Linked DNA regions of Lepisosteus oculatus. The main gene of each other region encodes a partner of the protein of the gene in region 2 in a complex. Links are inferred from orthologs where the notes say so. Each region holds a gene or a part of one and is shown on either strand. Other genes may lie near its edges.

Region 1 (7,422 bases), on a different chromosome or scaffold from region 2:
GCCAGTGGAAATTCACAACATTACAGTACTATCAAAATTCACCTACAGGGCTTGTTTCCATTTCTATGATATCAAGACTTTTAACTGTTAAAATACAGCATTGTGAAGACGTAAGCATAGTAGTCCACTGAAGCTCTTAATTCACAAGTAATTATTGTTACCCAAAGTGTCTGACATTAGTACCCATTTTTGCAGCCGGCTGTTTTACTGGCCCGCTCCCAGTGAACAATGGCCCACTCCCAGTGAACAATGGCCCGCTCCCAGTGAAGAATGGCCCACTCCCAGTGAACAATGGCCCACTCCCAGTGAACAATGGCCCGCTCCCAGTGAAGTACCTGGCTCTCGGGCTCAGTCCACATGGGACCAAATCCCACAGCTTTGAGTTGCAAGTCCAGAGCCCAGATCACTCCTCCGCAGTGTCGCTCCAGCTGGCAGGGGGATTTGCTTTATTAACAACTTAAGAGTTTTAATTAATTCATATTGAATATTGTACTTAGTACTTAGAATTGTAATTTATTCTCTTTCTTGTTAAAAATATGTCCATGAAGTAAAAGCCCTTTTCACATGATTAATTATGATAAGGGTGTGATAATGAGACAGGTAGCTAGTGGTCTTTAGTAAGCACTAAAGCTGCTTGGTTATCTATATGTACAAAGGTTGGCTGCCATAAATATACAGTATGGGAATTTACACAAGTATTCTGGTCGCATTACAGCAATTGTATCATTTTAAAGTACAGAAACATAAACTAGAATGAGGAAAATGACAGAAAAGCTATTGAGAATTTTTTTCACATTAACATTTTAAAGCTGAAAAATAAGAACAAGATAAATTACGTTGATCTTTGTTGATAAATCATATATGCATTGTTAAAATCACGTTTAATTACCATCTTCCTTACTTGTACTCTTAGACCTAAAACAGCAGTAGTAATGGTAGAAACATTATGTTCATAAGGAACAAGTAATAGGTTTATTCCATGCTGAAAAAAAGAAGAAAGAGAACACAACGTTTCGGCCGTGGAGCCTTCTTCAGGTGTGTGAAGGTCTTCACACCTGAAGAAGGCTCCACGGCCGAAACGTTGTGTTCTCTTTCTTCTTTTTTTCAGCATGGAATAAACCTATTACTTGTTCCTTTGCAGCCTACGCATGCTGACGCAGCTACCCACCTGAACTACATTATGTTCATATCCTGTATTGATATTAATCTACAATTTCAAGCCAAATCTGGATTCAAAGTATTCATATCCTTTCCATTTACCCAATGGTGTTCCATTTTGTGAAATTAAAAATGTCTATGCATCCGTTTGTTTTAAAATTAATATTCAATTCAAAATCTGAATATCAGCAATATCAGTAAATATCAGCAACATTTAATGGAAAAAATAAAATGTGCACGTATCTACAGTATATTTAAAACTGTGAACACAATATTTGTTGGAAGCACCTTTTTGTAACACTAGCAGTCAGAAGTCTTTTTGGGTAGGTCTCTACTGACAGCGCACGAAGACTTGGTGCCGTTTGTGCCCATTCTTCTAGACGGATTTGCTCGAGCTCTCTCAAGTTGCTTTGGGATTGCTTATTAACAGCAGCTTTCAGGGCTTTGCACAAATCCTCAATAGGATTCCAGTCAGGAGTCAGGGCCACTCAAAGACAGTCTCTTTCTCATTCTTGAGACAGTTTACTGTAGCTGTGGCCTTGTGCTTGGTGCATTTTCCTAAGCAGCATGAAAAAAAAGTTTTCCCCAAAGTATTTCCCCGTGCTTTGCTCGACCAATGTTTCCTTCCATTCTAACAAGCTTTCCAGTCCCTAATGAGAACTATGCCCATGGCAGGATGCTGCCACCACCATGCTTGACTGTAGGGATGGTGTTGACTGGGAGATGTGGTCCGCTGGGTCTGTTCCAACCACAGAGTGAGGGGATAGATCAAAAATCCCAGCTACAGTAGGTCTCACCTGATCCCAGCACCTTGTGCCACATTTTTGCTGGATCCCTCGGATTCTTTATTGAAAAGCCCAATGCGGGCTCTGAGATTGTTTCTGGTAACGGTTTTCTTCTGTCCACCCTGCCACGCGGGCCTGCTCTGTGAAGGGACCGGGGGGTTACGCAGTCTTGGACATTTTCTCCCATCTCGGCGATTGAACGCCGAAGATGTTGTTACTTAACAGCTGCATTCCTCACGAGTTTCCCCCTTGCCCAGCTGCTCAGTGGGTGAGTGTTGGGTTCTTGATGACTGAGTAAACTGTGCTCAGTGAGATGTTCAGAGACTTCAGGATTTTGTTGTACTCTTCTGCTGGTCTGTATCTTTCAATAACTTTATCCCTGGCTTTGAAAACTCCTTAGTCTTTAATATCGTGTCTTTGCCCTGCCTGGCTGAGGGACATTACCTGGGGTAGACATGTATTTGTTCTGTTATCATGTGAAACACTATGCCTGCACACAGACAGAGACCATTCAACTGAATGTGTGGTGTATTCAGGTAATTCTGTAAATGTAAGGATTTGAATACTTACGCAGTCACAGTTTTTCCTATTTTCCATCATATTAATTACCTTTTTACTTTTATATTTTTGTTTTTGCTTTTGAAGTATGGAGCAGGTTGTGTATGCAGTTTAATAAACATAAATTGCTATTTCAAAGTGCCATGACTGGAAGCAACAATGTGTCTGAGTGCTTTACAAAGGCACTGTATGCAAAATATTGCACTGTAAAAATACTTCTAGACCATTTCTAGGTGCGTGTCAACTGAGTGGTCTTCTTGCCAGAACCTATATTTAGGAAAAGATAAAACTTGTGGAATACAGAAATAGGTGTTGTCAAACATCCAGGGAGCCCCAAGTGCATTATAAAGCACGTACCAGGCTTTCTTCAGTCGGTTTTAAAATATTTTATGGTATTGCTTAGTATCGAAAGGATTCCAAACAAGAGGGGCTGATGGGCCCGTTCAGATCATCTCACTTAAAGGCTCACTCCGTGCTGAAAGGCAAAGAGAAGAAGCTGACCAGTGAGGCTATGGAGCACCCTTAACTGTGCCCCTGCTGACACAGCCCCCTGCTCCCGCTGTCTCACCCGAGACTCGTCTCTCAGGGGGCACTTCCTGCTCAGCTCCTCGTGCCACAACGCGAAGTGCCTTTTTTTCTCTTCTGAAACTCGATGGCTTGTTTCATCTCCCATTTCAACTCTTTTTTTTTACCAGGCCCTGTGGAAATCTGACCCCCTAAGGAACTTGGAGATTCTTCCCGGCTTTTAGAAATAAAACAAATACAAGAAGGCCGTGGGTGATTGATCGATCTGGGCAGGAAACCTATAACATCCAGCAGACGTATTGGTAGATAATTCATGCTAAATAAAAAAGCAAAGGGGTTATAAAAATATACAGCATCTTAAATCAGTTAGCAGCTGGCTCAGAGTCAGTTCAGGTAGGAAGCTCCGTCAGCATGTGCTGGCTGCAAGGAACAAGTAAAGGTTTATTCCCTGCTGAAAAGAGAAGAAAGAAAATACAACGTTTCGGCCGTGGAGCCTTCTTCAGGTGTGAGAGAGACAAGGCAGGAAGCAAAGGTAAAGTAGCGGGAGAACAAAGGTTGGGAGAGAGGAGGAGCGAGGGGCGGGAGCAGGGGACAGAAAGAGAGGCCAATCAAGAGGTGTGAAGTCAGAATAGGTGTAGAGAGGTGTGAAATGAAACATACAATGAATAGAGAGAATTGAGAAGAAAATTAGTCTTCTGTTGAGAGAAGGGGAAAGCTGTGATCCTAGCTGCAGGATAATTTGAGTTTCTGTAGTCTTTCTGATGTAGGAGTTAGGAAAACCTTTGAGAACACAGTCAGAGAGATTAGTGTGATCATGGCCGTCAAAAGTGAAATGAGAAACAATGGGCTTGGAGAGATCTTAATCTTTAATCTTAACATCCTGGGGATAGGAAGTGTGTTAAAGGAATGCAGTTGTTATGGCGGGAGTTCCTGCTCGAGTTGATGGTCCGAGGGGTGTTTTTGGCTCGTTCTTTCTAGGAATAACTTCAAAAAACAGCATGAAATAAACCTTTGCTTGTTCCTTTTCATGCTTTTACAACAGTGCACCTGTACATCTGTGCTGATGTTAACCAAGAGCCAGATTCTTGTGACTCATATTGATCATACAATATACTTGTTTACTATCTGAATGTAATGTTGCAAAGTACAGGCTCTATACTGCTTTCACTTCTGATTTGAAAAAGTTTTCACATCTATTTATGTTTAAATAAGCCCGACAGCCTGAATTTTAATCATCTCTGTCCTTGGTGGGGGTGGTGGCTGGGGGGGAGAGAGGTGGAGGAGGTATTTCTAACTCGCCATTACCGCAATCACTGATGGTTTGCTTTTGAGTGGAGGCGCTTTTGGTTTAATTACGGTAAGGTGGACCAGCAGTGTCCACTGAGCGATCAGGTGATCCACCACCAACTACGGAACACAAGCTGACTGACTAGAGAAAATGAAACATGGCATATAGCAAATGTGAGGGCATAATTTACTCACCTTTTCGACCCAGATTCGGATTTAAATCGTATTTTTGGAGCTACAGCGTGACAATGAATCGCTAAACTCCGCGCTGGGATTGTCGGCTTAACAACAACAACAGAAAGAGGATTTTTTTTTTTACATTTTATTTTTGTATAAATTGGGGGGGGGGAGAAAAACCTCATTAGAGGGGAGGGGGGGGTGGGCAACCATGGGGTTGTGTTACAGCCTGCGTCCGCGTCTTTTCGGGGAGCCCAGTGGGTCCATCTCTAACGCCACTACCTCGGACTCGGACCCGCCGCCCGACTCCACCGCGCCGCTCCGCGCCGGGGACCTGCGACACGGGGACGCGGGGGGATACGGCGAGACGGCGCCGCTCCGCCGGGGGGACGCCGGCAAGCTGTCGGCTGGGGACACGGGCACCGACGGGGTGGTGGTGGTGCAGAATGGAGGCGGCGGAGGAGCGGAGCGCAGCCGGCAGCTCCAGCTGCTGCACAAGCACAGCACGCAGAAGCAGCAGAAAGGCTGGGACAGGCTGCGGGTGGAGGAGAAGGAGGCCGAGAAGGAAGCCAAAAAAGTCAGTAAAAGCATTGACAGAGCTCTGAAGGAGCAGAAACGGGAATATAAGCAGACCCACCGGCTGCTTTTACTGGGTAGGTGTGATCCACAATTTTTTTTAACAGCTGTAGCCTGTCACTGTGACCCCCCACTGTGTATTGTCAAGAATTGCACGATACAGTTGTATATACTGCTGTGTATATTCCCAATGATGAATAATACCTAGAATTTCATTTACTCGCTGCTGGAGAGAAAAATATCCCCCACCCACCCACCCATTTGAACGGCAAGGGTTTTACTGAAAGATTGTTTTCCTCCCTGGGTTCAAGTAATAATAGAGCCGTGAAATGTCATTCGAGAAAAGACTGTCCCACCATTGTCCGACCAGGCGCTGATGCTGGTGTCAGCGGCTTTTCTTATTTTTTACAAATTGAAGTAGAATAATTTTAGTAAAAAACAAAACAAAACGCAGATATTAAAAAAAAAACCCTCCATACTCTATAAATAAAACACGCGATGATAACACTTTCAAATAAACAGTATTCGGCGTTACAGCGGTTTTGACCGCGTATCTTGGGGCCCTCGTTTGACATTGGAGCACTATATCTCGTTAGCTTTTCCTGCGCACACAAGCATTTTCAAAACGATTGTCCTTTTTAAGAAGATTTTTGATAGCGAAAGACGATTTTTAGGAGAGAGAGAGAAAAAAAAACACGTCGTTGCCATGCGTAATTGGGGCCGGTTTTGCGGATAGTGGGAGCAGGGGTGTCCACCGAGAGGCACTGGGCAGCAGCGGACCACTCCTGTAGTAAAAACCTGCGTTGGAGTTCAGGCCTCTTTATGGACACGGTATAAAATCTGGGACATTTCCCACACAGCTCCGTTAACGTGGCCGGTTTTCTTGAGCCTTAACCCCTGATTTGCCTTGGGACGGATTTTCTGAGGCGCATAACGCCTCCCAGACCTTCAGTCCACCTGCCCTGCTTTCATCTGGGCTAGTCTCTCTGTTGGCCGGCTGGACACGGCACGCCCAGGTGGCCGGAGGTCTAACTGGAAATCCCTCTAACAGTGGTACTGTAAGCCCCCCCTGAAATCCTGTAATGGAATAGATTGAGATTTGATTACCCCTTCCGGTAAGCTTCTCTTACACTTACAATAAATTAAACGAGACATCCTGGCGATAAACCTGCAAGAACTGCAGAACTGACTCTTTGTCCTATTTTTTTTTTTTTTGTGGGTTTAAGAATAATTTCAGTATTCTTGGTATTAGACTTGCTTGTACTGTACTGTATGTGTGTGTGAGAGTCAGGGGGACAAAGTTCTCTTCTCATTGGTAGTAAGCATAAGTGTACTTGTAGATAAGTGTGCATATTTACCCCAAGAATTTCAAGGATTAATTCAAGTGCCCAGGCCAAAACCAAGAGTGTCTGGGGCACTTCAGAGGGTCAAGAAAAAATAGAAGTAACATTGAACAGAGAGAAAGATGGGGAAAGAAAGAGAAAAATGCAAACAGTAATTGGAGAAAAGAGGAGGAAAGCGTCTTTAGTCTAGATTTAGAAAGTGAACGAAAGGACATTTCTCAGATGGGCAGGGAACTGGTGGTGAGCCCCAAGAGGGTTGTACCTGTAAGAAGGTACTAGTAAACCGTGCACCTCAGCAGAGCCTTAGGTCCTGCCTGGGACATCCGGAGTATTTGGAGATGCTTATGAGGAAGTGGTGAGTGGGGCTTTAAAAGTAAAGAGGACAGTTTTGAACTGAGTGCGCTGGGCAATGGGGAGCCAGTGACGACGTGTCAGAAATTGGGGTGACGTGGTCACGGAGCCCTGAATGTGTTCGACGCCGAGCGGCTGAAGCTTGTTTTCAGGAAGTGGGGAGACCACTGTAAAGGCCGCTGCAGTAACCCAGTCGAGATGGCATGAAGGCATGAATCAGGGTTTCTACGGCAGTGTGATCAAGGAAGGACTTAACGTGGACAATGTCCCTGAGGAGAAACTAAGGGACATTACGGATGGCTTTTATTTGTCTGTCGAAACAGAGCTCAGGATCAAACATGATCCTGGTTTCTCATAGTAGGTCATAATCTGAGCCCCGTTTCCAAGTTGTAGGGATTAAGTTCTCTGTCCAAGAGAAGTGGATATGCATTTATCACACATTTCTGTAACAACGGCAGGAGAATTTGAAGTTCCTGAAGCCGTACGCAGAAGATACATGCCTTGACTCAAATGCAACAAACTCCACAAACTGGAGGTTCTTCTTAAAGCGAAGGACTGTGCTTTGCTATGTGGTCTTGAGTTTTTTTTACTCATCCAGACCTGCTGTAGGAGAGATCCATTAAGATCTAGTCACTAGGCGCCATGACTCACAGCCGTTATTC
Region 2 (7,771 bases):
CCAGTCCAATAAAGTAAAAAAGAGGTTGTGTACAGTCAGTCCTGTTTTTTTTTTCCCTGCAGCTTTTGTTTGGGCTGTCTGTATGAGTTAGGCCTTTAAATGGGATAATGATGAATACCACAGCAATTTGCACTTAAAATATCCCTACATAGCATTGATAGCCCAATATATACAAGAAGTTTGTGAAATACAGTGACCTGCAGGTCTGATAGGACATGATTAAGGTATTTACAGTGTATATTTATTACTAATGAAATGCATGTAGCAGACCTACCATAATTTTACTTAAAAGGAACTAATGTACTGCTTCAAAGGGTCGTATTGATAAGAACTACTGTGAAATGCAATTTGTATTGTCTAATTGTACTGTGTACACATTTTATTTTAAAACATGTTTTATTGTAAATTATTCAGAACCATACTTTTTTTATTAGCATCCAGGTTGCTCTGTATGTTGCTTTACATTCTTTAAATACAGATACTGTATACTTTAAAAATATGCTCTTTCACCATGTCATTTGCCAAGTTTTATGCATTGGACTTTATTTTTATGTTTGTTTTAATGTATTAAACTTCAATGTTTTAATTCACAGATATTTTTAGATTTAATTTTGCTGTAAATGTGCTTTTCCCAATACCTTCCCCTATGACTTAAGCAATTAAAAGAACTGACTATATATAGTACCTTTCTGCCTTTTATTGGTTGTTTTTATTTTTATTTGGTCACCTATAACTGTGAACTCACTATCACAAAAACAACAAAAAACTATTTGGATGGAAAAAACACATTTGAGAAAAGAATCATAAAACAGTGACTGAAAAAGAAAGCAGCAGCATTTCAAAATCCAAAAATGCAGCATAATACTTTTCTACATGATGTTAAAAATATTAACTTTTTGTGCCTGTGAATATATTTCTTGTTCACAAGTGTAAGCTTCCAGTTCACTAAGTTTCACAATCTCTTCCTGCATTTGTGCAGATGAAAGGGGTTGCCTTCCATACCTTGAACTGATGGAGGTGTTTGAAGTCATTTTTGCCATACCCTGCAAATGGAAACTGATGTCTCAAAAGTGAAAAATATGTGAACAAAAACTAAAGTTGCATTACTTAAACAGTAAATCATTGTATTCTGCATAATCATGCTACTTGCTGTTTAATTTAAAGACCACTACTTTGCTAAGATATTGCATAAATACTATAATTCCTCAGCAATTATAGCTGTAAAACAAAAAGATCTGTAGTCTGTCTTTTAAGACAAAACAAAAAGTCATAGAATTGTCTATTCGCATCTTACTGAAAAGAAAATTACCAAGGTTTAAAAATGTATTAATTTTATAAATAAAAGAAGAGCAGAATGAAGGGAAGAGAGTTATAGAACTAGCTAACTGTCAAGTTAAAATAAATACAAAAAAGGAAAGAAAGTTGCAAATTAAGGGGTAATTGTAATGTAAAATCAATTTTACCTTTCTGACATGTAAGCTGAGATTAATGAAAATATGTCTTTTAATTACCATTCTCGGTCACATCTTCAAAAAAATTATCATTGGGATGAACAAGAAATATCAGAAATGTTAACAAGAGGCGTTTAGTTCATAATTATCTACTGTAGTTTGTCCTCATTGATTTCAGGGTATTGGTTTATGATCCTCATGAAAATGTCTTAAAAAATATGAAATTATCATCTAAACTGTGGTCTAGTTTTCCCGATACGTTTGTACATATTGTTTCTCTGGAGAATCACATTTTTACCTTCCACCTTCGGGATATACTTCCTTCTTTTCCAAGTACATTCTGGGCCCTTGTGAGTCCATAGTTTTGTCGTCATTTCTCACTTCAAGGCCCCTTCTTCCAGGTAAGAGAGATTTTATTTAATTTTACAAAGACGATGCAGTATTTATAGCTTACAGATGTTTGTAAATAATAACCCAGGGCACTATCGTACATAACAGGAAAACTAACTGAAATTACCCAAATGTAAGACATTATATCATATTACAACATGCTGTGGTCTTTATTTAGACTTAGGCTCACCGATCACAACACGTGCAGTCAAATGGAGTGGCTGCAATGGAGAGAGATATACTGTTGTTTTCAAGGTCGGAGTAGCTGATGAAATCTACCAGCTCTGCCTGGACAGGTAGGTTTTGAGGAGAAATTGGCATCTGATGAAAGAAGAGAAAGACAAGAAAAAAGTAGTTAAATTTCACACAGGCTGGAAGAATGTACATTTTAAACATTAAAAAGGTTGGTGGTTAACACGAAAAGGCAACAATGTGTTCAGTTTACATCACCACAATTTAAGAAATACACTGTTGCTCCATCGTATGAGGGAGAGCAGCCAGACTGAGACTAATTCCTGAACTGAGAGCAATGTCTTCCTAACACAAAAGAAAGGAAATGAATCTCTTAACCATGGAAGGAGTCAACATGCTGCTTTGATGGAGGTATTCAAAAGCCCTGAAAAGCATTGATCATATCAATCTACGAAATAAACAAAGACTGAAGACTCTTGTTAATCAGGTTATGGGACATTCAGAACATAAATAGAAGATGCTCCTTTATTAAGAGAATCATAGCTGACAGTGCAAACAGTGTGAAGAAACCACTTGATATATATTTAGTTTCCGCACATTTGGGAGATCTGTTCCTCTACTGTGTGGCAATTTATCATTTCTCAGGTATGTTTTGTTCCAAATGTCCATTTTCCATGGAGTAGCTTGCTGTTTTTAAGTATCACTAATAACAGGGTAACACTATAAATGGTAGGCTAGAACATAAGCATCTTGACTTCTCTAGAGCTAGATGTTTACAATTTAAGAATCCGTAAGAAACATGACTTTATTTCAGGAGACCTGTGACAAATATGCTGATGTCCATACATTTTAAAATGATTACCATAAAGCCATTTATCATTCTAACATGCTGAAATAAACAAGAGGTTCCAGTCACAGTTGCTAGGAGGATAAATGTTACTCAGTTTTCGGACCCTTGCACAACTTTCTACATTTTGTGCCTCTAAAGCATGACTCTTGTAAAAAGCAGTTACACTTCATGTGAACATGGCAAGGATATTTCCTAAGGATACTCTTTGTGGGACTGCCACTTGGTGGAGTTCTTTGCTAGCTTTTGTGTTACTAAGGAACAAGTAATAGGTTTATTCCGTGCTGAAATGAGAAGAGAGGAAACAGCGTTTTGGCTGTGAAGCCTTCTTCAGGTGTGAGAGCCACACACTGACACGTTTTGTGTTACTACAGTATGTGATTAAAAAGAACCATTAATGAAAGAACTAAAATCATTTGATAAAGGAAGACTCATTTCAAATTGAAATGGTATTATTTTTCTAAAATCCATCCATCCATTCAGCCATTTTCTAACTGCTTCACAACCACTTAAGGGTTGCGGGGGAAGCTGGAGCCTGTCCCGGCAAGTAATTGCCCATGTGTCTGTGTGGTGGTGGTCAGTGCTGCTGCTTTGCAGTGCTGGGCCCCTGAGGGCAGTCCTGGACCTGGGGTGCTGTCTATGTAGAGTTCTCCCTGAGTTCACATGGTCTTCCCCCAGGTGCTCCGGTTCCCTGTCACTGTCCAAAAACATACTGGCAGGTTCATTGCCTTCTGGGAAAATTGGCCCTGGTATGAGTGTGTGTGTGTGTGTGCCCTGCGGTGGACTGGTGTCCTGTCCAGGATGTACCTTGCTTTGTAAGTGTTACTTGCTGGGATAGGTTCTGGCTCCCTCACAACCCTACAATAGGTGAAGCAGTTAGGAATTGGGTGAAAACATACATTTCTGATTAATTAAATAAAGATTCTGGTACTAAGTAAAAGCTGGCCTGGTCTTTGAGGGCTGATGGGTAGTCTAATTCTTGGTCCGAATGATCCCTCAATTATCTCATAAATCAAAACATAGGTGTAATTCATCAAAGTGTTCCAGGACTTTACAAACCGATTATTTAATGGATATACACAAAACTCACTGGACCAAAGTTCTTCAGAACGATGTCTGGAAACTTCCACTGAAGACCTTCTCCGTGCTGCTTTTCGGCTCCTTTTTTATTAAAACACTTAAAAATGTAAAAATTAGCAAGGACCTGCATCTCTCCTGAAGAAATTAACCTTGCTTCTACAACAACCAGATCGTCCATCCACATTTATTGCTTTTATTAACGTTTAGAACAACTGTGATTGCTGTGGGCAGCAAAAATACCAAAACCAAACATGACTTTATAAAGTGGTGTGTCTTAAATATATTATCATTAACTTAGGTTTGTTTTTGTGTGTGTGCATAAAGAAATAAATCGGTGACACGTTGAAAACAAGAAATGTGATTGTCTTTGCTTCTACTGAGAAGTAACTGTTTATTATATAACTGCTTATAGGATACCTGTAAATTCAGCTAAGGCTTTCCCTATTATTACAATTCATTTAAAAAATCTGAAACGGCAATTTCGTCGTCTGCCTCCACCATTTTAAAACCAGGTTTGCTCTTGCGATATGGTCAGGTTTTCAGCACGCCACATATCACTTTTCCGGCTTAAGCGAAAATGCTACACAAATGTAGTTTTTGGTACGTTCGTGGACTACCAAAGAAACCCCTTTGGTTGAAAATCGGGTATTGTCAATTTTCGATGATGACCAGTCCCCACCAAATTTTGTCTCCTATGTCAATGGCGACTTCCATTGCGGCTTCAGCGCCCTCAAGCTTGATAGGCTAAAATCGCCCCATATGATGAGAGTGAATAACGCTGCGGGAATGTTTGATCTTCCTTGGTGGTCCAAGGTGCTGAAAGAACTCGGGGTTGGTGTTTAGCAGCCAAACGTTAGGTTTTTGTTAAAAAAATCGAGGTGCACATGCATGTATGCCCCTAATTACACACCCTCGATAAACATTACTTGCACTCGAATGCAATGAGAAAAAACGACTTGAATGTAAGATATCAAAGGGAAAAGTTGAGTTTCGGAATTTAAGTGCAAGCGAAAAGGGGAGAAAAAAAAATTAAACCCCATTTTAAACCGTAGATTGCAGGTAACTATAGCTTGCGTCGGGCTAAGGGTTTTTTTAAGAGGTGAGCTGGAGTTGAGGCGGCGGCTAGTGCCGGGCCAGACCACCCACAAACTGAACCAGTGCGGTGGGGAACTAGCCTAGATGGGAGTGAGAGAAGTACGGAGTCGGAGAAAGAGAGGCGGACGCCATTGCAGCCGCGAACTGCCCTTCTGGATTTCAATCAGCTGATTTAAGAAAAGCAAAGGATCTGGCAATGAGGGAGAATAAAGTTCCTCTCCCGATACCACGAAAACACGCGGAGTGAGGGTTGTTTGCATCGGATTTGCAGAAAGGATGCGAGTTCGCTACAGCCAGACTGAAACGGTGAGAAAAAAACTTTTCAGGGGGGATTCGAGGAGGCTGTGTATTGTGTAGAGCAGACAAAGGCAAAGCTGCAGGACCTTCTCGTGGCTAAAAACCTAGTGCAGAAAAGATTTTGCAGCCGATTCAAAGACATCGTGTCTATATGAGGTTAATAATGGGTGAATTTTGGTTTTCGATTGGAACCAAGCTCCGTATGAACAGTATGGGCAAGTTTTTTTCTGCTGCTGAGGTTTTAGATATTTTTACTTTTTGAACGTCTTTCGGTGAGAACGTTTATTATACAAAAACGAAAACCGGTCATAAATTAAATTTGCGCACTGAAGTCGTTTTCATTAATTCACGGAACAGAACGGAGACGATACAGAAGAGTGCCGTCTTGTGATTACATTTACAACTGTGATTACAGTGCTTTTACCTATTACTAAGTACAAATGCATACGATTTAAAGGCAAAGGCAATCTTCTGCCAGGCTCTGTCGGTTTTAAAAAAGACTGGCTCGCTTTATTACCGTTTGGTTTGGTTAGAGAGGAAGCGAGTGGCTAGACTTGAGGAAATCCCCAGGCCAATTCGAGGAATGAAGCAGATGTTTTCAGGGAGTCTTGTGAGTAAAAATAGACGTAACTCCAAATATATAAGTGGGAGATAATTCTGAGAAAGACATTAGAGTGGATGTTCCATCCACTGACCTACTTTAACGTTCCCATTTTCCCAAAACTTCTAATGATTACTCACTGTTTCCTTGTGTTGAGGATATAAGAAATCATTTTGCATTTTTCGTAAAATGAGCCGAACCATGAGGAGCAGTTGTAGTTTCTACCGGTGCCTTGATTTTGTAGAGTGCACCCAATACATTTTTGAGGGGCGTATAAAGAGCTCTTTTGTACAAAATCGCCCAGTCGGCGATGTTTATGTTGTTCTTTTCATGATATAAGACAGAATGGTTTGTAATTCTTCTTTATTAAATCGGTTTTGTTGATCTGCTTTAGCTCTTAGAATTCACAAATTAAACTGCTTCTTCATAAATTTGCTTACTTTCCCTGTATTATCAAAATAATTATTTCAATTTAGAAACACGAAACACGTTGACGCTGATAATTCTATAAATCTTCAAATGTTATTGTAAACTTGAAATGTTATTGCAATAGCGTTATCCCTTGAGGTTGCCGGATTAGGAGACGCTATTTTTTAAAGACTATTTTGCAGTCCAGAGTAGTTCGATGTGCTCCAGTTTTAACGTTGATGAAAATAACATAACCTATCACTCTAGGAGACGTGGAATTTAATCGCATTACAATGTCATAATTTTGGCAAACCAAATAACGACAACAGTTGTGTATGGTGGATGTGGTGTTTTGCGATTTCTGCTATAGTGGAACCGAGCACAAAGAGATAAAATAAGATCTTATCAGATAGTGCACAAATATGAAATGAACCATTGCTGCACTGATTTTAGTAATTTCGTCTTTTAAGCAGCATGAGCTTTCAATACTAGCGAGGTTATAGTTTCAGTTTCTACTAACATTAATAAGTCTAAATTCATAAAAACACTGAATAAGGTGTGCTCTTTGCTGTGCATCAAGAACAACAGTACGTGATTTGTGTTATGGCTCTGAAGTTCCTTCGGCCCAGTCAGATCCCCATTTGCCTTTGGGATGTAGCCTATTATTACTGTCCTAATCAGTGCTTGGGACGCAGTAATATGCAACTGCTGCATTCAAAGATAAATAACACCGTTTATTGCAAAACGCTCGACTTTTAGTTCTTGCGAGAGAAATGAGAGACTAAAGTCCTCGGTTGCCAGCAAAAAGAAAAAGGCTTTTGTGTTGTTGTTTTTTTTTTTGTTGACCGGATTCTATGTACTACTTACAAAATAAGTTATTTTAGGGTTATTGTCTGGATAAACCACTTTCATTTAATCGATTAAATTAGACGTGTTGGCAAGTGATTTGTTCTAACGTTTTTAAACAAGGTGTGCATGAAGTGTAACGAATATGTTGTGGAAAAATTGCAGGGCCTGTTTACTGTTGACCAGTCACGCTGCTGGTATTTTTTGCCATTGTTGTAGTTCTATTAACATTTTGCAGGTCTCATTTGGACTCCCGTTTCCTGAAATAGATGAGGCCCTTCAGTGTAAATACAGAACACAACTGAGTTAAACAACCATTAATCTCTGTCACACCTGGGGTTGGTCTCACATCATGTTGGCCTAAGGTTTTGAATATTCTTCTGGCAGTTACCAAGGATGTCTCCCCCTGCACGGTGTGCCAGTCTCCCACAATGAACAGCAGCAGCAATGGGGCGCACCCACAGAATGTCTCGGCTTTGGAGGGTGGTGGGGCCATGGTCGCAGAGTCCTTCCTCATCATCGCCATCACCCTGCTCGTGTTCCTGGGAAACCTACTGATTGTGG

The links.
Region 1: the proteins of gpr161b (region 2) and guanine nucleotide-binding protein G(olf) subunit alpha are in contact, whole or in part, in a cryo-EM structure (PDB 8KH4), measured with the Homo sapiens proteins. The link is inferred for Lepisosteus oculatus from reciprocal best matches to the Homo sapiens genes GPR161 and GNAL. Residues at the interface, in NP_001254539.1 of Homo sapiens: Arg125, Ala128, Val129, Leu130, Pro132, Met133, Tyr135, Pro136, Met137, Ile139, Ile211, Val214, Ala215, Lys218, Ala219, Lys267, Ala268, Thr271, Trp327, Asn328, Lys329, Arg332; in NP_001135811.1 of Homo sapiens: Ala41, His43, Lys203, Val204, Phe206, Phe363, Cys366, Arg367, Asp368, Ile370, Gln371, Arg372, His374, Leu375, Gln377, Tyr378, Glu379, Leu380, Leu381.

Annotation. Positions count from the first base shown.
Region 1 is NC_090701.1:57,018,068-57,025,489, forward strand, and holds the start of guanine nucleotide-binding protein G(olf) subunit alpha, read left to right. Parts: upstream 1-4,421; 5' UTR 4,422-4,701; coding exon 4,702-5,143; intron 5,144-7,422. UniProt on the Homo sapiens protein: Guanine nucleotide-binding protein (G protein) involved as transducer in olfactory signal transduction controlled by G protein-coupled receptors (GPCRs).
Region 2 is NC_090710.1:23,450,405-23,458,175, reverse strand, and holds the start of gpr161b (G-protein coupled receptor 161), read left to right. Parts: upstream 1-4,767; 5' UTR 4,768-5,361; intron 5,362-7,594; 5' UTR 7,595-7,638; coding exon 7,639-7,771. UniProt on the Homo sapiens protein: Key negative regulator of Shh signaling, which promotes the processing of GLI3 into GLI3R during neural tube development.